Alligator mississippiensis: one gene and its partners. The protein of the gene in region 3 interacts with the protein of the main gene of each other region in a pairwise test. Links are inferred from orthologs where the notes say so. Each region holds a gene or a part of one and is shown on either strand. Other genes may lie near its edges.

What was found.
Region 1: the proteins of EPB41L3 (region 3) and YWHAG interact in binary tests that used the Homo sapiens proteins (3 or more experiments, as listed by UniProt). The link is inferred for Alligator mississippiensis from reciprocal best matches to the Homo sapiens genes EPB41L3 and YWHAG.
Region 2: the proteins of EPB41L3 (region 3) and MBIP interact in a two-hybrid assay, tested with the Homo sapiens proteins (2 studies listed by BioGRID). The two-hybrid records come from large-scale screens. The link is inferred for Alligator mississippiensis from reciprocal best matches to the Homo sapiens genes EPB41L3 and MBIP.

What each region holds. Positions count from the first base shown.
Region 1 is NC_081837.1:16,884,201-16,892,047, reverse strand, and holds the start of YWHAG (14-3-3 protein gamma), read right to left. Parts: upstream 3,040-7,847; 5' UTR 2,867-3,039; coding exon 2,780-2,866; intron 1-2,779. UniProt on the Homo sapiens protein: Adapter protein implicated in the regulation of a large spectrum of both general and specialized signaling pathways. Binds to a large number of partners, usually by recognition of a phosphoserine or phosphothreonine motif.
Region 2 is NC_081825.1:257,639,664-257,646,590, forward strand, and holds the start of MBIP (MAP3K12-binding inhibitory protein 1), read right to left. Parts: upstream 3,038-6,927; 5' UTR 2,996-3,037; coding exon 2,870-2,995; intron 1-2,869. UniProt on the Homo sapiens protein: Inhibits the MAP3K12 activity to induce the activation of the JNK/SAPK pathway. Component of the ATAC complex, a complex with histone acetyltransferase activity on histones H3 and H4.
Region 3 is NC_081826.1:92,350,541-92,358,369, forward strand, and holds the start of EPB41L3 (band 4.1-like protein 3), read right to left. Parts: upstream 3,063-7,829; 5' UTR 2,898-3,062; intron 1-2,897. UniProt on the Homo sapiens protein: Tumor suppressor that inhibits cell proliferation and promotes apoptosis. Modulates the activity of protein arginine N-methyltransferases, including PRMT3 and PRMT5.

The DNA of each region.
Region 1 (7,847 bases), on a different chromosome or scaffold from region 3:
GTGCTCTGGGCTCATTCTGTGCTCTTCAGAGACTCTCAGACCACCATACCGAAGGGTAATAGCCCCATCTGTATGGGTGTATGAAGGGATGGATGAAGCGATTTGCCCAAGGTCAGCCGGCAGGTCAATGGCACAACCAAGACTAAAGCAAGGCACTCTTGTGCCCTAGTCCAGTACTGTATCTATCCAGCAATATTACTTCTAAAGGTACTCACTCAAGAAGCCAGTTTTCCCCTGATCCTTCATAGCAATTAATGCAGCACAGGAAGTACCACACTGCTTCAATTGAGCATAAACTATCCACTATCACTATCCAGCTTCATTGGCATTACCCAAGCACAACAATGGATTTGTGTAGTTAGCAAATTTAAAAACCAAGTTTATCAAGTGCCTACTAGATATTCAGATGTGGAGATGATAACCAAATAAGGAAACATTTTTATTCAGTTTTGTACACTCCACTGCAGTAATAGGCTGCCCAGTAGATGATGTGTTTAGAAAGAGTCCAGCATGCTATGTCCAATAAGAAACCCTAACTGCAATTATTCTATTTAAAAGCTTCCAAGGAAGTATGGGTTGGGTTTGTTGAATTAAGTGACTGAAGGCTGCATCACAAACCCATTAGTCATTAATAACATTTAATCTTATAATTGATTTTCAAAGATGTGACTATGTTCTTGTGTGTTAACTACTGCACTGTACTTGAGTTTGCACTAAAAACAAAAAAACGGTGCCACTGCTTTCTTTATATACAATCTTATAAAGAAAGACATGCAGCAAGTGTGAGAGTGGTGGTATTCATGCTTGATCTAATGATCTGTCAGGAATGATTTGTCATGCATTAGTTGTCAAAAGATATATGAAAGATCTATCATCTAGTTTCTGGGAGAACGTTAATCCCACTGGATAACTACATGGTAACATTTCTGCATCAATTCTGAAATATGCAATCTGCATGCTCTCTGCTACCACCTGGGTGCAATGCAGCTTGTACCACTGCTTCTGACATCACTGCGTTGCTACGGAAATGAGTCCGAGGTCACAAGCCTCCTGCACAACTGGAGATGGGGAGGGGAATGGGTGATTAGATGGGACAATAAATCAGTGCAACATGTCCAGTAAGATAGGACCATGCATAGATCCAAGTAGCATTTTCCAGGTTATGGGAAAAAAAAAAAAAGAGAAAGGAAAAGAAAATGAAATGCTGCTTGTGTGCACGTGTGATGTAGTAAGAGCTCGAACACCTCCAGTATAGTTCAGCTATAGGAAACCGATTCCAATGTACTGGAGATGCAACAGTCCAGATTGCCGTTTCATGATGGCCATTAAAAGTAATCATGACCTTTTATTAAGTCAGCCTTTTCCTTCTAAAAAAGAATACAGAACTGAGGGGGGGAGGGGAAGAAGCATACCAATTATATCTGTGGAGAAACAAATATATTGGAATAAGATTACTTTGCATTTAAGTCTATGTTCTGTTTTAGATAGCAGTAGCTATATATTACCTGAATAAAATATTTAATATTTGCACACATACATTTAAACCAAAGCTCAGGGCTCTACAAAAAAAAAAAAAAATTAAAATAAAAAAAAAAAAATGGAAAATTCAATCCTGCAGTAGAGCAGCTCATGTATTAAAGCCACCGAACCGCTGTCAAGCTCATTTTGTTCCGATTGTTCCACATTTCATTTATGGAGGTACAACTCCCATCCCATTCTCAGGCTGTGACAGTTCTGCCCATATGATAAATGCAAGGTTACTGACAAAATGGTGCAATATAAGCGAATGGAGCTGCATTCAAGAGACTGCGACATTCCTAGATCAGCATTCACTTCTCATCAGCAAGGGAGGACACCCCAGCTTCTCTTAAAGGCTCAGACCTGACCAAGAAGACAAATATAAAAGAACAGTTTTCCCCTTTAAAGCAACCCCTCCCTCCCTCCACCCAGTCTAGCCTCTCTGCAATATGACAAATGCAGAATCTTCTGGAATGACTTGATACTGCCTCCCACGATTGCTTTGTTTGCAAGATCAGATCAGAGAGGCTTTTTTTTTTTTTTTGTTAGATTGTCAAAAAAATGTGTGTCAGTATTAATTAAAAAGACACATTAAGGTGTCACAAACCAGATGGGTCCGCTAAAACGCAGAGCCTTTATTTTAAGAGCGTGAAATGAAGACAACCCTGACTCAGCTCAGAGATCTTGAAACGCAATTAAAAGGAAAAAAAAAAAAAGGAAGGAAATAAGCGTGAGCCATTAAAGACTTAGAAGTCACGGAGGACACCAGTCCGCGCTAGTCGTGGGAATCGGGCACCGAGCGGAGGATGCGGCTAGAGAGAGAGCCGGGCGGCGGGCGAGGAAGGACACGCATCCCTCATGTGGCTCGAGGCAAGTCCCTCCGAGGATCCTCAGCCGCCCTCTGGGGGGTCACTCCAGCCCCCGCGGCGGCGGGCAGGGACCGGGGGCGGCAGGGGACCCCGACACCACGGGGTGATTTTTCTAGATTTTAAGCCCAGGACTGAAGGCAGGCAGGCAAGGAGGGAGGGTGCGGGGAGGGGGCCAGGGCAGCTGGCGGGGAGGGCACCGCCCAGACACGGGGTGGGGGTGGGGTGGGGGGGCGACGGCATCTCCTCAGCTCCGAGGGCATCTCCTCTGCCCCGGGCGGGGGGCCGAGGGGAGGCACGGGCCTCGCCCGCCCGCCCGCCCGGGCCCTTTGTTGCACCCGCGAGGGGGGAGCGAGGGGGAGGCAGGCGCCGGGGCCGGGCCGGGCCGGACTCACGTTCTTCATGGCGGCCGCCATGTCATCGTAGCGCTCGGCTTGCTCGGCCAGCCGGGCCTTCTGCACCAGCTGCTCGCGGTCCACCATCTTCCCGCCGGGCGCGGAGCGGAGGGAGCGGGGCTGGGCTGGGCTGACGGCGGGAGGCGGCGGCGGCTCGGGGCGGGCGAGCGAGCGGGCGACCAAGGCGGCTCCGGCGGCGGCGGCGCCTCTTCCTGCTGCTGCTGCGGCTCCGGCGGCGGCGGCTGCACCCGCTGCTGTGCGCGCCGCGCCCAGGACACCCCCTACGACCCCGCCCCTACACGTCACGCGGCCCCGCCCCCCGCGCGAGGCACGCCGGGACTCGCAGTGCGCGGCGCCGCCCGAGGCGGACTCGCTCTCCCAGAATCCCCCGCGCCCGGGCAGCCCCCACCCCCGCCACGCGCTGGGCGGGGCCGCGCGCTCACACCGGAGCTGCTGGCAGTGGCCCCGGGGCGCCCCGCGACCAGCACGTGGTGCGGGGCCGTGTTCCCGGTGGAGGTTGCAGGTGGTTTTGGCACTCTGCCCCAAAAAACGTTGCTGACCCCTGTCCTAGAGCCATGGGAAATGCGGGTTGGAAGGGACCTCCGGAGGTCACATCTAGTCCAACACCCTGCCCCAGCAGGACCAGCCCCAACTCGATCATCCCAGCCAGGCTTTAAAAAACCACCAAGGATGGAGAATGCACCACCTGTCTGGGGAACCTGTTCCAAGACTTGTGATATTTGGGATCCTTCCTTTAGGCTTCAATTCCTTGGGGCAGGTGATGATGTGAGAATTGGAGCTTGGGTTTAAAAATCATTCGTTTCTGGCCCTCCTCGTTGCAAAGAACAACCTGACCAGAGCACACCTTAAAAAGCCAAACAGCTGCAAGGCAAATAAAAACCACAAAATGTCCTATTTTAAGCTCATGATTTTTAAGAGAAGCTCAGGATTTTTGGAGGCAGGCTCTAAATCTTTGGAACAGGCAGTGCTTGTACTTTGCTATGTTACAGAATAATTTGGAGGTTCAATTAATGTTTTAAAGAGCTTTGAGATACTTGGATGAACAGTACCATATTATAGAAATGAAAAGTAGTATTATGATTTGGCAAGGTGCCCTATATAGCACAAAAAGTTACATGGTGACAATTATAGTATCATATGTATTATTATATTATTAAATGGTGATACTATGTTGCTGAGTCACTGTGTCAGGGTAACTGCAGAGTGGTTTATTTCCCCCACCCAGTAATATTCAACAGTTCAGCTAGGAGGACATGGGGGGCGGGAATAGGGATGGTTCCAATCAATTTGGAAGGGAAAAACATTGTTAGGAATGACACCATACAATCCATGAGTGGCAAGCCAATGAGTGCATTATGTTAATTCATCAATTAAAAAATAAATAAAAAGGCATATTCATTATGTACCAGGGTAATCTTAACTCCACATTATGAATTTCATTGGAAAACTTAAAGAGAGACCTTTTTCCCCAAAAAGCCTGTAGACATAGCAACATGTATAAAACATTCCAGAGATTTATAAAAGGAAGTTTAGAGATTTCATATCAGAGAACAAGTCTGCAATGCACTAGTACTAATGCACATTTCCTCCAAGTACTTATTTTGAACCTGATAGCTTCACCTCCAGAAGTGAAAATTGAGTTGTCTCCATAGCCTGTTCTTTCCTTCACCCCCTTGATGAGACAGCCAATACATTTTTGGAGATGGATAATAAATGTCAGGTATAAACAGATGTGGTTATTAAGCAAGATGGCTGCCATAATACATACTAATAACCAAGTTTGGGGTATAAAAAGAATGTTCCCCTCCTCCAAACTATCTGGGAAGTTGGGGGCTTTCATTACAAAAGATATGGTCTCAATCATGAGGGATGCCATCCCAAATGTGCACCACAGATACCTACCCATCATAATGGTCATCATCACTAGTATACACTCACTAGGACTGAGACCAGCATAAATATGTTGCGATAACCCACTGTCCCTTGGTTTGATAACCATGGATGCAAGTGTGTACCCTAAGTACATTACATTAAATAATAATATATTGCCCTTTACATCCCATTCCACCTGAGGATCTCAAAATGCTGAACACACAGTAATGAATCAAGCCTCCCAACCACCATGTCATCTCCATCTTATGAATGGTTAAGTGACTTGCCAGAAGCCACAAAGCAAGTCTGTGGCAGAGCCAGGGATGGAATGAAGTCACCCTGCCACCTAGTCCTGTGCTGTAACTATGAGATCAGCCCACATTCAATTTCTGTCCCACAGTATCAGGAGAATCAACCTCTCAGCCTCCCCACTACCAACTCTTCCCGCATAGATATTGAGTTATTCACAGCAGCAGAGAATGAGGCATTTTAGCATTCATAGCCTAACAATGGCCATTAGTCCAAGTGCCTCATGTCCCCTCTGTGCTGAGAGGAAGGTTAGCCAGGAGCCTTCTTCATCTCCCAGCTGGGTTTCATACCCTGCTTTTCTTTCTTGGACCCTGGTTTTCTCCACCCTGGTGATGACTTACTGCTCTGATTGCTTTGCTGCCTGTTCCCCATTTTTCCCTTTCCATCCACCCATCTCTTCACTGCCTTCAGGCCCGCATCTCCCATCCCCAGATCCAGCTGCCCAGCCCCAACAGTTGCTCTCAGCTGCCATGGAACTGTCCAGCACCAACATCATTCTGTGCCTCCCCTTCATAGGTTTCATAGATTCATATACATTAGGGCTGGAAGGGACCTCAGAAGATCATCAAGTCCAGCCCCCTGCCCCAGGGACAGGAAGTCAGCTGAGGTCACAGGATCCCAGCAAGGTAAATGTCCAATTGACTCTTAAAGGAGTCGAGAGTAGGTGCTTGCACCACCTCTGGTGGCAATCTGTTCCAGGTCTTGGGGGCTCGGACAGGAAAGAAGTTCTTCCTTGTGTCCAGCCTGAAACGGTCTTGGAGAAGTTTGTGACCGTTTGACCTTGTCATCCCTTGGGGCCCTCTGGTGAACAGGCATTCCCCCGGATCCTGATGTACACCCCTTATATTCTTATAGGCAGCCATCAGGTCCCCCCTGAGTCTGCGCTTTTCCAGGCTGAAAAGTCCCATAGCTCTCAGCCTCTCATCATAAGGCCTGTTTTCCTGACCCCTGATCATGCACGTGGCTCTCCTCTAGACTCTCAAGCTTCTCCACACCCTTCCTGAATTGTGGAGCCCAGAACTGGACACAGTACTCCAGCTGCAGCCTTGCAAAGGCCGAGTACAGTGGGAGAATTACATCCTGGGATTTGCCTGAAGCATCTATGGATGCAAGTCAGAGTCTTGCTCACTTTGCCAGCTGCAACATCACATTGGTGGCTCATGTTCATTTTGTGGTCAATCATGACCCCAAGTCCCTTTCGGCCATGGTGCTAGCAAGTGTAGCACTGCCAAGCCTATAAGCACGCTGCAGGTTTTTCTTCCTAAGGTGTAGTACCTTGCATTTTTTGGTGTTGAAGGCCATCAGGTTTTCGTTCACCCATTTTCTGTGTGTGTCAAGGTTGGTCTGGATCACCATCCTGTCCTTGTGTGTGGACACTTTACCCCTAAGTTTACTCCCTTCCTCATGGGAGTCCCCTACAGCATTCCTCTCCCTGTGTTGTAGCAGCTGAGCAGCAAAGACCACTGCCCCGTGGGGACTGCTGTGTCCATCCTCCATCACATCCAGGCTGCACTACAACCTTGGGCTCCAAACTGGATTTCTCTCTAATTCACCACCAGACTATGACAGGTGGAAAAAACAGCTGTCTGCTAACTCCTCAGATATGCCTGAGGAAGTCAGCTACATTTGCTTCTCATGGTACTCACTTGGTCACTGTTACCTAAAACACACACATCAAGATCTTTGTACTTAAATATAAACCCCTTCATCATCTCAGCCTGAAGTACCCAAGAGGTCATGGCCCAACTTCATAACCTAACCAGGAATTTATGGCCATCTTGGTCAGGTCTGTAATCGGTTTCTAGGTTCAGTCAGGATGAGAACAGGTTTTTCCTATGTCAAGGTTCCTCAGCAGCTATCAGTATTCTTGCTGTTTCCCTGTAAACTCTGTGCATTTAAGCAGTTTAGAGAAATACCTTCTTTTGGTTTTATTTTTCTCCATTCCTTTAACCAGTTGGAACAGGATCCTTTTTCAGCAGAGCTTTGTGTTTTCTTGAATGCTGTCTGGCTGCCTTTTGTGTCTGGCACTGCTTTGCATTTATCCGTTACTGTATGGCTCCTAGATACCTCACACCAAACACCCTTTATGCAAATTACATACATGAATGAGAATTATGTGCAGTGTTATAAGTACCACACCTGGTACAGAATACAAAAATCGTGTTGGCATTCATGGGGTTAATAGCTGAAGTTGTATCCTGTTGTGTCCCTCTAAAATTTGGTGACAAGTTGTTGCCACAACTATTATGGAAGGGAAAAATCAATTTGAAATTCATTGTAGCATATTACAACAGTAATCAACAATAGTATAAGCACTTAAGGACAGTAACTCTTTTGAAAGTGGTGCTTTATAGATAATTATTAATAATATTACAAGGATTTATTCAAGATATTTTTGGTGATAGTTCCCAAGCCCAATAGGAATCAATTATTTTAATAAATGGTTTCTGGAGACTAAAAAGTATATGAGCTCATATCTTTTCCTCATATGATATGCAACAATTTTAGATGTCTGTTCTTTTTCTACTTCCTTTCTTTGTCTGTCTTCATGGTCTGTCACTGTCTAATTTGCAATGTAAATCTTAGGAACCATGGATAAAACCCATTGAACTCAACAGTCAAACTCCCATTGACTTCCACAAAGGAAGGCCTCTTAATCTCTGGATTGCGACATATTTGCTTATGGCTCTATCAAAATGCATATTGATAATAGATAATCTTAAATAGATAATCTCATATTTTACTGAGAAAATCCTGCTCTGTGTGTTGCAGATACACTAGAGGGAAAACCAGCAAGCAGGGACCCTCCTCCTTCTTGCGTTACACCTCTGCAGAGATCAGCATTTTTAAAGGCACCTAGTAATGT
Region 2 (6,927 bases), on a different chromosome or scaffold from region 3:
AGTGTGCCTTGGGCTGGAAAAGGTTGGGAAACACTGGTCTAATGGCACCAAATATTATGGGTATGTATTTACTTCTTGATGACTTCAAAATATATTTTTTAAAGGGGGCAGACATTTGAAGGTTAAAATATGCAAGAAAAAAATCTAAAAGCACACTATACAGAAAGAGATTCAAATGTAAATAAAGTAAATATACAGGACTGCTAGCAGTAGTTTGGAGGCAAAGCAATTAAAATACTAAAATGACTGGGTAAGCACTGGAACTGTCTTAATACTACTCCTATCTGGAAAGGAGCCTGATCCTCCATTCTTTATGCAGGGAGAACGGCTGGATTAAGTTTAAAATCAGGCCCCAAGTCAATCTGCAGGAAAGCAGATGGGGTTAGCAATTCTTATGAAGGCAGAAAAACTAGTGACCTAAATAGCAAGTTTATACAACTTTTTTCTATTTACCAAACTACTAAAAACACATAACATAGGCTAAACTTTCAATCTTTTTGTTCACATTCATATAATACATATCATAAATCTCTCTCAAGCAAGAGGTTTTCCTCTTTTCAATGCTCAATCTAAACCCTGGATAGCAAGTGGGGGGAAAACATGTTTTTAGACCCTAGGCTAATGTTAGAATACCTCATTTACTCAAGAAAATGAAGTTTTACTTATTTCTCTAAGCCAGCATTACCAATCACATACCTACATGTGCACACAGCCTGAGCTGTTCTATCTCCCCCACTCCACAAAAAGGACACAGTGTTTTGAAAACTACTCATGATTTTTGTTATCCTGTCAGTGGAGGCAGAGATTTGCATTTAACAGATTAAAAACATGCTTCCCTCAAAGTTCCCCAGAGAATCTTTTTTGCTGAGAATAAAGTAACAACTATACATTTCATTCGGGCTTCTATATAGATATTTCAACATATGAAAATTTAGCAAGGTTTCTGAATGGGAATAACTTGGAGATTAGCAGTTTAAAAAGCTAAAGAGGCATGCTTATTCAAGCAGCTTTCAAATTACAAGTAAAGAATAATCCCTATAGCAAAGCTAAACCCTATTAATCCACACTTTTGTATATACTAGTGTGCTAGCCTTACACAATGTCTTTGTATAGTGTGATAAGTGGACTATAATGTTTGTGTTTGATACTAGTTATTGCAGCTGCTACACTTTCATTGGCTGATGGTCTATTTTGCAGCAGTTTACAGTACGAGTAAGCCACTCCATCACAAAAGATATCCCTATGTGTCCCAACAGTAGACTGTGTTTTAGACTAGAACCACCTTGTTGTGAAATAAAATTGCTGTGGCTAAATTCTGTTAAGCCCCCTCACTCACTTCTCCATAGTGAAAACACTAGGATTCTGAACCTAGATGCAGCACCAACATGGCCAGGCTTTGAATAACTTGTGAAACACTAAAAGCAGTAATAGAAACTACTGTTTTTAAAACGGTTAATAGCCTTGCAGCTAATTTAGACTGTGGCTGTAGCCATGGTGATCCAGAAAATAGACAAAAAGCAAGGGATTTCTGATTACATCTTTTACTAGACTAACTGCATAGTTGGGATCTCTCTTTTAAGCCGGTGGACAGATTGTGTCATCTTTAGGAATGTGGCTGATCTTTTGTTTTTCACATAAGTTTAAAGATTTGATATTTTGGTTGCACTGTATAGTACAAGAAGAAAAAAGTGATTTCAGAATAGGAGACACATTGTGATGGCCAGAAAAGAGGAATTCTTCACTCCACTCAGTTCCTTTAATTAACAAAGAATTAGTACAGATGTTGGGAGGCATGTCTAATAGCAAAATGCTAACTAATCTTCACAAAATTCCAGTTGGAAAGGTAGGCAAGTGTTCTTATTCATTTTATAGATAGGAAAACTGAAAGAATGTGGGCTTTAATCTTTAGATTTTCAGGTCCTTAATGCTGCAGTCCCTCAGTATTGGAGAGCCAAGATGTTTACGGGCCTGAGCGATATGAAGCAGCTGTCATACCTGCTTCACTTGACCAGTACGGCCTGTGCAACTACCAAAAACAAAAAAAAAAAGGTATTGTCAGACTGCAGCGAGTTAGACCAGCAGACAACTGAGCAAACTTATATCTGAGGCTACTGAGTTCTACAGAAAACAGCCACCAAGCTGCACACGTTTCCCATTCTTTCCACTCACTCTTAAGTCATTGCTTACAATCCTGGGACCCTGCAAAATTCACAAACAAGAACTGGGGAAGCTCAGGCTGCAAGGCACCAGGAGCACCGAGCGAGCCTGCCTCTCCAGGAGCCACAACATCCTGACCAGGGCTCCCCCAGTCCCTTAAAGCACCATTTTTCAACCCATGGGTTGTGACCCAAAAGTGGGTCACAAGAATATAGAAAAAGGGTCAGGAACAAACTTTAAAAAAGGATTCTCCTTCAAAGGAGAAAAACGTGGGAAACCATGGCTTTCCCCTCGCAGGCTGGCAGAGCTCCAGCCTGCGAGGAGTTGCTCTGCCTCTGCTCCACACACTGGGGGGGGGCTGGAGCCTGGGGGCAACGGGTCAGGACTGGCCACCGATGTTTACAAATGGGCCCTGACACAGAAAAGGATGAGAAGCGCTGCCTTAAGGGAGCTTCGCGGGGCCCCCACGAACACGCTCGCGGGCGGCATGAGCCCGAGGAAGGGGCGGGCGCCGGCCCATAGTCAGGGCGCCCACGACCAGACAACCAAGTGACCGACCCCGGAAGGGCCCCGCCCCGCCCCGGGGAGGCGCGAAGCGGCGACCCGAGCCCGGGGAACCCCAGCGGGGAGCGCCCCCTGGCCCCGCCGGGCGCTGCGAGAAGGGGGAGGGTGCGCAGCCAGCGAGACTTGCCCGGCCCGGCCCCGCACAGACCTGCCCCGCCAACTCGGCCAGGGAGCGCAGGGCACCGCTCAACGCCTCCCCAGCCGTCGGGCCGGCGCCAACCTCCGAGTCGCAGGCATAGGCAGGACAGTCACTGAGCTCCACCACGGCCGCCATAACAGCAGGCTAAGGCCAGGGCCGGGCCCCGCCTCCCGCTGCCGGCGCGCGGCGATGACGGGTCACGCGAGCCCGGACCGCCACCCCGCCCACCAGCCTGACGGGCAGGCTCCGCAGCCAATCCGTGGTTCCCGCCGCTGCGAGGCGGGTCTTGCGGCTCCGGGAGCGTCTCCGCTTTGGCGTTCGCAGCGCTGACCCCGAAAGGGTTAAAAACTGCTGAGGCTGGTCCTCCCCTTGCCTCGCCGGGGCTGCGGCGCGAGAGCGGCAGTGACAGGAGGCTGTGGCCTGGCGAGGGCCCTGCCCTATCCTGTCCCGCCCCCACCCAGCGGAGCTGCAGCGCCTTGGGCGCCCGCCGGGGAGCATGGGGCTTGCCGTGCCCCGAGGCCCTGAGAGGGGCCCGCCTCTTGCTTGTTCCTGTGGCAGCGCCCCCGCGAGGGTAGCTCTTCCCGGCCCTGGCCTCTGTATCATGAGGCCCCCACAGCCCCTTCCCCACCCCCCCACCTCCAACGGTGCTAACACAAATCATCCGCTCTCATTAGCCCGCAGGTGACCCGGGTCGGTCGGTCGTGGTCTCCACAGCATGGCTCTTGCAGGCTTTCGTGTTCTCTGCTGATGCCAAGGGGTGGGCAAGGGCCCCCTGGGGGCAGCCAGTCTTCCCCCTTGGTGCCTGGCCTTTTGGCACCCCAAAGGCCTGGTATAGATATAAGTGTTTGAAAACCGGCCAGTACCTGTAACAGAACAGTTCAGCATGCACAGACTGATTTAAAAATGGCAGAACCCAGTGTAGGATTTGCGCATCACCCCCACGGGCAATTGTGTGTGCTGTTCACTGCCGATCTCTAGAATCGTAGAAAACGAGGGTTGGACTAGGTGACCAAGAGGTCATCTAACCACCCCCCTGCTCAAAGCAGGACCGTCCCTAACTAGATCATCCCGGCCAAGGCTTTGTCTAGCCAGGTATTGAAAACCTCCAAGGATGGAGGTTCCACCACCTCTCTGGGTAACTTGTTCCAGCATTTTACTACCCTCCTGGTGAGAAAATTCTTCCTAATGTCCAACCTAAACTTCCCTTGCTGCAACTTGAGACCATTGCTCCTTGTTCTGTCATCTGCCACCACCCTCTTTCTAACCCCCCTTCAGGTAGTTGAAGGCTGCTATTTAATCACCTTTCAGTCTTCTCTTCTCCCTCAGCCTCTCCTCAAAAGTCATGAGACTTACAGAAAATTGCACAACAGATTGAATCTGCCTTGAGCTTTTTGTATGTAGCCGAATTGCTGGCTTTCCTGTGCAATGGCTTGTTCTCCATGGTCTTTATGTGCCTCTGGATTTGAGAGTCATTCTGTCATGGTAGGATCTGCCTGGTGCCTTGGGTCCACCTAGGCTGTACTGTAGAGCAGTGTGACTCCTGTCCCTGTCTCCACCCTAGCCCTGCCACTTGTAAGAACACAGCAACTTGAGTTCAAGAACCTTGTTATTTTGACATGCTGGGTAAATAAATAGGCTTACACCATAAGGACAAGGGCTCGTTCTATTACAGCCTCATTTTCATTCCCTGTTGCATCCAGGATGTCTCTGGGGGATTTTATCCAGAGAAGTGCAAGAGAAGCCAAAGCAAGTTCTTCAAGCCATACACTGGTTTCTTGGGATGTTATCAATCAGGCAGTATTAACAAGAACAACCCCATACAGCAGAGAATAAACAAACATACTCACTACCAGTGGCAAGGTCTCAGGACCCTCAGAATTTGTCCTCAGGGTTTGACACACATTTCAGACTTCCACCCCTCAGCCTTTGTGTGTGGTGGGGTTATACAGTTTAGGTTCAGATTTGTGTATTCCTGCCCATTCCTATGAAATAAGGATCTCTTGGCTAATTCACTAGGGAGCAGGGAAACTGAGTCATGGTCTATGACCATTGTTTTTTCCTAGGGTCCCCTTATTAGCATTGGGTGTGATCAACGGCCTATGAATCTCAACTCCCTTGAAAATCCCTCACAACCCACTTCTCTCGCATGCCAAACGTGATTCAGACTGAACTGCTTCTAGAATCAGAGTATCTGGGTCTGAAGGGGCCTTGTGGAAGATGTGTAACCTGGGTGGCTATCATCTTGTCCCCATCCGCATTTGCTGCTGATGAAATGGCTTCTGTAGTTCTCACCACCAAAGGTTAGCAACATGTAGATCTGCCCTGTGGAGACTTGTGTCTAGACTGCATAGTTGAGGTGGAAGGGGTCTTTGCCCACACCACAGTTGGGTGATGGGGGTTGCCCACACTGTATTACAACTGTACAGCAGGAAGAAGTGGCAACACTGGGGCTTTGCTTGCACTGCATTTAGCAGCAAGGGCCATGTTGGAAGCACTGGCCTACCTCCAACCCAACCTTGTCAACCATGGCTTTCAATGACCTGAGTTACTGGGCATCAGGTAACCTGGGTTCATAGGGTTGTAGGACTGGACTGGATAAGACCTTGTGAAGTCATCTAATCCAGACCCCTGCTCAAGGCAGGATCATGCCTGACTAAACCATCCCAGCCAAGTGTCTCTCCAGCCTACTTTTGAAAATTGCCACTGATGGAGATTCCAGAACTACTCTATTTAGCAAAAAATTCCTTCTAATATCCAATCTAAAATTCCTCTGCTGCTCTTGAGGTCATTGTTCCTAGCCCTGTCCCTTATGGCCACAGAGAATAGTCTGTCTCCATCCACCCTGTAACTGGCCTTCAGGCTGTTAACAACCCACCCCTCTGTCTTCTCTTCTCCAGATTAAATAACCATAGATCTTTCAGCCTTTCTTCATGTCATGCTTTCTAAGCCCCTAATAATTTTTGTTGCCCTCTACTGGACTCTTTCCAATCTGTTCACAACTTTCTTAAAAGTGTGGGTTCCCAAACTGGACATGGTACATGAGGTGCAGCCTTACCAAAGCCAAATAGAATGGAAGAATCACTTCCCTAATGAAAGCCCTTACACAGGTTTCCTAGGTAACATTGTTGAGAGTCTTGAAGCTTCAGAGTTTGCCTTTGCTGCAAGAATAGCTGTGTTTTTACTCCAGGATAACTAATACAATGAAGACAGATTTTCCAAGAAATGAACTCACAGAGATGGTGGCGTAGGGTTGACCTAGGTGAGTTTACCTCACAGTACAAGTGCTTTTTTTCATTGTGTTCTTCCATTGGGATATTTCATGCATGTTTTTACCCAGAGGTAAAAAGATACATTTTAGTAGTGAAGATGAGGCTTCAGTTTCATTATATGCAACATGAGGATACCACTGATGCCTGTTAAAAGCAGTATGTCAGTGGCCTGGTGCTACTTGCTTCTAGCTGACTGGTGTTGTTTAAGGGAATGTCAGGGGAAATGTTGCTAGTAAGGAGTTGCTGCTCTTACCAGGTGTTGCTGAAAATGAGCATTGCCTGTGATAATCTTTTTCTACCTCACAAGGAAATTGTAAAGCTAATAAAAAAAAATTGTAAACCAGCTTGAGATGTTTTAATAAAGGTAGTAGGAAACCAAATTAAATGAGTTTTAGTACTGTCTTTACTGTCTATTACTGATATTAATGCAAGTATTTCTAAAGCTTCTCTCACTGGACAAACCTTTACATGGCTTAACTTAGTGTAAACACTTCTGAGGAAATAGGCTGTACTTAATGTTTCCCTGTGCAAATAAGCAAAATACCCAAAGCAACTGAAATGAATAAACACTGGCCATCTTCACAGAAAAAAAAATACAGGGAGCTTATAATGCCCACCATTTGCAAACAGAACAAAAAGCTGTGTTTTTCATGAAGGTCTGAAATGGGCTATACTTGGGATCACTTGGATTTCTAAGAGGCAGGGCAAACTTTTGGGAGATGAAAAGCCTGTTTTTATAGGTCTTCCTGATCTGTGAGCTATAAGTGCAAAGGACAATCTCCATTTTGTATTTAAAAA
Region 3 (7,829 bases):
CATAGCTGTAATAGCACTTGCTTATTAACTAAGTATGCCATGACTAACAGATAAGACTATTAAATCTTATGTATTATAAAAGAATATTTATTTCAACTATAAAATGCTTTAATTTCTTCTTCCCAGCCATCACACATTTTCTGGAACAAGAGATTTGCATGAGCCAGGTTTAATCATCATCCATTTTCAAGAACTTTTCTATTTGTTAATTCAATATCATATTTGTAATACAAAGAGGATACCTTACATTAATTTTAAGAAGTAATAACCTTCTGAAAGGAATACATTTCCAATGCACAAAAAAGATCAAATATACCCAACAAAAATATATTTGTTATGTACCAAACTAACTGTAAATGTGTATATTGTTCATAAACAATGAAGCCCTCAAATACCTGTAATAAGAAGTTTTGTTCACTGAAGGTAATTATTTAACCATTTTCTGCTACAGATAACCTGCACATCACCTTGTTTCATCTGAAAGTATAAACAAGCATTAATTTCACCTCTGCTTGCCCCTCTTTCAGAAGCACGGTTCTCCGTAGTCACCAAGATGAGGCTAACCTCAGTCTCGTTCATTTAGCAGGCACAAAGTTATACCAACAAAGCTAGTCCAGACAGTTTGATTTGTGGTGCCCCACCCTCATTTCCTTGAGCCAGAGTGATGTCACAACATAAGGCAGCGCAATGACTTCACTGCTACAGTTCTCGTTGCTTCTGGGCACACACCCCTTCTTGCCATGACAAAGGCAAAACCTCTACAGCACAGCAGCAAACAGAGGCAAACACTCATGAAACGAGCTCCTAATTTATCCAAGGTTCCAGTAATACTGGCTAACCTTTTAAAACACACCAAAACAAAAAAAATACCATCAGCTGCATCATGAAACAGTACTTTAATGAGGTGGTACCACCATAAGAAATGACTTGAGGGGAGGAGTCATAGTTGACTACATTAGTCTGATTAAAGTAAAATATTATATATTTTAACATTTTCACAGTGCATTTAGGCTGGTGCTTTCTGCAGTTAATTATTCATCACTGCAGTGAACAGAAGCGTAGCAGAACAGAAGCTCAAGGAGCCTTTCTGCTCACACAGAATAAACTTGCAGTTGCTCCTCACTCCAATGCAGTGTTCTCCCTCCCTCCATCAAGTACATCATTACTGAAGTGCGGATTTCAGCCTCACACCAGAGTTGCAAATCCCATCCAAGCAAACTGGTGTGACAGTATTAAAAAAAAAAAAAAAGACCAATGCAGCATGTCTGCCATATTCTGAATTTAACCAATTAAATGACAAGGGAAGATGCAACACAACGATGAGCCTGACTTGTTACATTCCATGTAAAGGTTATCCTCCATATTTGTAGAAGGCAAGCTTATAATTAATTACTTCCATTTGCTCCAGATTTACTAGGCACTTTTTTTTTTTAAACATGTTTTACTTATTGGTCTACTGATTATAAACCAACTATGCAACTTCATATCACAATCAAATAAAAGCCTAAGAACAATAATTTAAGCACGAGAAAAGTATTTTATTTCTAGGATACAAAACTATAAAAGCCTGACAATGTATGAGATGTAGCTACTTGTACAAGCTCACTGATTGCACTGACTTCTGACCTGTAATTCTTCAATTCTTTTCACTCAAGACTACAAGTGAAGGCAGCAGCTTTTCTCCTTACTGCTTGAAAGGGATGCAATACCCAAGTGTGTGCAATCTTCTTCTCAAGTATAAGGAACATTTATGCATCTATTGAAAAAAAAATCCTATTCCGAGCAATGAGTACTTTATTGAAAAAACAGAACAACCCAGAAGTTTATGATGCTGCCAGAATAAAAAAAAAAAAAAAAAAAGCAGCGCTTGAAAACTAGTGCAACTACAAGGTGCTTTCCTGTCTTTAACGATTAGGGAAAGGCAAATTTTCCAGTTTCGTACAAATCTGTTGAAAGAAAAGTTTCAAGTGAAAACGTAAAAGCCCTCGTCACAGCTATGCCTGCTGCCCACCAGAGATGCTGGTCTCAGCTGGAACACAAGACCCAGGTCAAGGGGGCTAGCAAGAGGTTTTATGACAGAGCCACACCCTCATTTTCTTTTGGAGACCTTGGGAAAATCCCCGCAAAGGCCCAGGCCCACTGTTAGCAGCTGACAGAACAGGCAAGGCTCTGACAAGGCCCGCAACCAAGGTAGAACCAAACCCAACTCTCCCTGGCTTCAGAGCAGCACGAAGGTGTGTGCCCTGCCCGCTCACAGGCAGCATCTTAAGAGTGAGCCAGACCCCAGCCCACTAGAGTTCCCCACAGAGCCCCTCTGCCTGGAAGCGACCGACCCTCTCTTCTCCTCCTCAGTGCCCTTCCCCACCCTGCCCGCCTGATTCATGCCATCTGCTCCTCTCCATCTTCCCCACAAGGACTTCTCCTTGCCCTGGCCAAAACCCCGCGCTGCAGCTGAAGGAGAAGTGGGGTGGGGAAAGCAGCAGCCCCTGAGGGGACCTGGGCGCCTGCGAATGGAAGGAGCAGAAGAGGATAGAGCGCTGCCACTGCAGCGGTTCCGAGCCAGGAGTGACTACGTGACCACACCCACCGCATTGCAGAACCCGCGGCCGGGCCGGGCCGGGCCGGGCCGGGGAGCGGGGGGGGGCCAAAACACGCACACCAAGACCCTGGTCCTGCCCCGCTGCACCCCCGCACCAGTGCGTGCACTGAACCCCACCCCTCACACACACAAGCACAGGGAGTGCAGTGCACGCGGGCAGGCACCCCCATACGCGCTGCTGGATCCTGAGGCGAGGTGGGGAGGGGGCACGGGGATGCTACACACACACGCGCCCCCACTTAAAAATGGCTCCTGCTCGCTAGCGATGGATGTGGGAGCCTCCCCCCCCCGGAGGTACCTCGGCGGCGCGGCGCGGCGGCGGCGGCGGCAGCGGGTCCCCGCGTCAGCAGCAGCCCCGCGGAGCTCTGCCCAGGACTAGTCCTCCGCCAGCTCCCAGCAAATCAGGGCTGCGGAGGCTCCTCGGGAGAGGGAGGGGGAGGAGGGGGGAGCCGGATGCGGAGCGCGAGGGACCCGGCGCCGGGGGGGGGCGGACACGCCCGCTCTGCGCACACCCGCCCGGGTCGGGAGGCAGCGGCACTCAAGTGCCCGGATCTCCACCTGTGTCCTCTCCCCGCTGCCAGGCCAACCGCCCGGCTCGTCCGGCACAGAGAGGACAACTTCCCGTGGGCCAAAACGCCAAGAAAATAACCCCCCTCTAGGGAGCCAACATCTGGATCTGCCTCCTCCAGCCTTTCTGCCCCGCTTCTCCGTAGTCTAATGGCTTCTGCCTAGAGATCCTTTCCAAGGGTGCCCTGGGGTGTCACGCTGGGCCAGCAGACCTGGTGGAGATTTCAAAGAGGTGTTAAAAACCTTCTCGACCTGGTGCCATCCAAGCTCTCTGCACCAGCAAAACTGGTCTGATGTCTTTCAGGCGAGCTGGGGGGAAATGTCCTTTGCAAGCTGTGGGGCACAGTCGCCCTTTGTTGGGCATGGGGAGTCTCTGCTGGTCTGAGAGGCCAAGGAATGAGAGAAGCTAAACGTGTAGAGGGATGTCAGTGAGAATGTAAAGAGGGAACATATTTTCCTGGTATTTTTCTGCAGTTGAAAAATCCCGCAAAAAGGAAGAGCCGGCATCTTCTGAGTCTAATGAGGGGTGCCTCAAGCTTGCCTCCAGTCTAAAAAGGTCAAGAACCGCTGATCTAACCAGAGGCCAAGTGTTCCCTAAACTATTCCTCAAGTATTCCATGATCAGGGCCGGATTGACCTGTTGGCAAACAAGGCACATGCCCTAAGGCCTGAAGTGAAGAATGGGCCTAGTTGGGCTTATTTTACATATAATTATTGAGTAAAAAAGTAATATAAATATACTGTATTAAGTAGGGGCCCACAAGTTTGTTCGCCTAAAGTGTTGATCCAGCCCTGTCCATAATACTTTGAACCCCCTGGTGTTCTCCCCCCCAGCTCAACCACATCACAGAAATGCAGATCCAGAATCCTGCCAAATTTGGGCCTAAGCCCACAAGAGACAGAGTAACTTTTACTTCCCTTACTGACCATCCAAATAATCCTAGAACCCAATACAAGGAAGTACAGAAAACCACTTTGGGAACCTGCTGGGTTTTGGCTTCATTCTCCTACTCCTACCTGTTGAGTCTGGTACAAGTGCAGCTTCTTTGAGTACACGAAAATAAACTATCCCATTTGACTTGGTACAATGTAGGTTCTGGGAAACTCTGATATAGATTTTTTTTAATAGGTGCAGAACCAAATAAACTTGTTCTTATTTTAGGTATATTTTACCTAATTCAGTGAAAGGAGGACCTAGATGAATAGTGATCCATGCACTAGATCTGACCAACTACAGTGCTGCCATGGGGATGACGTGCTGCACAAGCAGCTAGACAGCAGATTTCAAGACAGAAGGTCCCAAAAAGAAGGACCCAGTTTTAACTCAAGCTCCCAATTATGGAAATTTTTCTTCTCCGGGACTTGCAAGTGGAGGGGGATTTTGAGTTTTGACAGTTTACAATGACCAGTTTCCCTGAACTGGTAATACAGGCTGCTTCATATTTAATGCAGAATAATCAGGGGTGGCTCCCTGATTACTTAGAATCAATAAGCATCAATAATAATAATGGGAACAGAACTAAGGGAGAAGTGAACTGAAATATTTAAGACTCATCTTACATTTGAAAGCTACTTAAATTTGCCTATGTTAAAATTTTGCAGCTACTCTAGATATACAGAAACTTTTTAAACCTGGTAACTTTTGAAACATCAGTACCTCAAACTATTAAAAACTGTGCATGAGAACCGCCACAAATGAACTGGGCTCACCATCACGGGGTGCGCCTCCACAAGCAGGAATATGCGTTTCCCTGGGGACAATTAGCAGTGGCACTGCTACGTGTCCCTGGGGAATGCCCCTGCGTGCTTGCTCTGGTGCACAGCAAGGTGCCCTTGGTAGGGTAGGGGAGGCTGCCTTGCCTGGGCTCCTGGGGGCCTCTCAGGACTGCAGCAGCGGTGATCCAGGTGCACAGACCATAGCCAGCCAGGCTCTAGTTTTGTGTGGCCCATACTGCTGCCATGTGCACCACCCCACTTCTTTTCAGTGCAGGTTTTTTTGACACTGGGATCTCCCAAGTGTCTGCAGCACTGGGAGACCGCACATGCACTCATGGGGACGCACCCATAGTGTATACCGCCATTGAAGTGGTATTTAAGAACAGTGAATTTACCATCTTCTATCTGAACTCTGAGGGCTTTATGAACACTTATTTAGCCCCATAATTGAACCATGCTAGACATGGAAAATGTTGACAGGAAACATCAAGTGGCTAGCATCTTGAATGACAAATCTGAGAGCTCTGTCTGGGCCTGAGTTTCAAAGTTGTTGAGTATCCACAGCAGTGGCAGCCAGTGAGATCTTCAATTGTTTGACATCCCAGAAGATCAGGTGCACAAAGGCTCAAAATTTTGCATGAAAAAAACCCTCAAAGAACAAAACAAAAGTACAAAAACTATAGTACACTACAGCCACTATGTCACTTGGCCACTTTTGAAAGTGCTGATCTTGATGCCAGTCATAAAAGAAGCCTACGAGACTATGAAAAGTTTTGTTCTTCAAAATCTGAACTGGGCTGGTTGGCCAGCCTGCGCGGTTTCTATTGCAATTATGAACAGAACAGGCACTTGAATCCATTGAATCAGCGGTTACTAAATGAAACAGTTCTGTCAGAACATATTCAGCCAACTCTAATCCATTACACACAGGTGTAGAACATGAATAACTCCATTGTACTTCTTAGTTATAGGAACGTGAAAGGAGAATCAGACCTAAAATCTTTCAGAATACTAAGAAACCCTAGCAACTCCACCTTTAACACAAAGATGTACCTTCTTTCACTACCCCTCCTTTTCCTTCTGGAGACTGGCTTTCAAATGTCAATGTCCGTAGCAAATTAAAATTAGTTAAATGGTTTTATCTTAGTTTCTGTGCACTTCCAAAAAACACTCTACAACCTGGTAAAATGGTCATAATTGTCAATTTCTGCTTAAAATAGAACCGTGAGTTGGCAAGAAAGAAAAACATGTTTCTGAGTTTCTCCCTAATCTTGCAGCTATTTACATATGTGCATAACTTCAAATATGCAAATAAACCTATTAATGGCAAAGCTATGTAGATGCTTGTTTTGAGCATCAGAAACTTAATACCTGAATGTACAGTTTGGCTCAAGCAAATGCTATAACAGAACATTAATAATCACAGTGATACAAAACATTTCCGTTCCATTTTCATGGGAAACAGCTGGGAGTTACTCAACCAACTTTTTTATTCTCTCCCCCCTGCCTCCAAACTCCTGCTGTTGAAAACAGTAAGAACTCCATGTTGCATGCTTTGTGGCTCTCCCTACAACCCCTGGCTAAGCTTGTTAGCATTACCTGCAACTCCACGCATCCCTCTGTTCCTACCACCAGCCCGTTTTATGCCACCTTTGCATCTCCTGTACAACCCTCCCCACCGCCACTGGAGAGACTTCCTGCAACTTCTCCCAATTTGCCCTTTCAGGATATGCATGTGACCCATATCCTCCTTCAGCCACACCAGGCTCTCCTTTTTCCTTCATGCCAGTGGCTCTGCATCTCCTAATCCAAGGTCCGTCAATCACACTCCAATGGCAGGAACTGTTTATGCCTCTATATCAGGCACAGAGATACCATGTGTTCCCCCTCCCCTACAGGACTGCTCTATTCACTCACAATGTCAAGGACTTTGAATGCACCCTCTAATCCCCATTATTTCTATTACAGTCATGTCAACAGTATCCCTTTCCTCTCTCACCCCCATGTATGATGGGTGCTGTCTGCCTCTTCTTCCTATATCCATCAATTTCCCCCTCCAACAGGGGATCCAGGTACACCTATTGTTCCTCCTCATTCTATCCCAGGACCCTTATCCTCTCACATGGCAGGGGCCATGTGCATACCCTCATTCCCCATTCTGGCCCACCATCATCGTTATTTGTTTAAGATGCAAGTAATTTTTCATGTCATTTTTTTTGAGGCGAGCAAGACCTCTATTATCCAGGCATTTGATTCACAAATAATTGCAGAGGTGCTGAAGAAACAGCTTCTTTCTTCCCTCTTTTTGTTACTCCAATTTTCCCTCAAATCAATAGGGTGCAGAGAAGCGCTGCACTGCCTAGAATGTTCTTAACATTTTGGAACTGATTGGATGCAGCATTCAACATTTATCTCATCAGAGAGAGTCAAAGCAGAGAGAAATGCCATCAAGTTGAGTGCAAGGTCTTCTCAAAGTTCAGCCAACAATGAATTAGGTTGGATACAGCATTTTGAAAAATGAGAAGTACTACGAGGGTCGTAGTATTATTAGAGTAGTATCAATATGATACTTTTCAGCAGACACCAGTTGGGCATTACATGTCTAGACAGTTAGATGATTTTAGATTTACACTGATTTTTTATTACTATATCCACTTCAATTTATTAAAAGCAAACTGTTCTGCCCATGACTCATTCCACTTAACCTTCTGCATGGCAATGAAACAAAATTTTAGTAATTAAGAATGATCACTGTGCAGCAATCAAGATAAGACGTTGGAAATTAGACTGCATCTTCCATTTCTTTCTATACAAATATAAAACCTGTACATCTATGTTCAGCCAAGGTTGGGATTTTCATAACAAAAAATGTTTTAAAAAAGAACACAAACTTTTGAGAGAGATGAATTCTGAATATCAAACCATTGTGCTCTCCTTATATGTATGG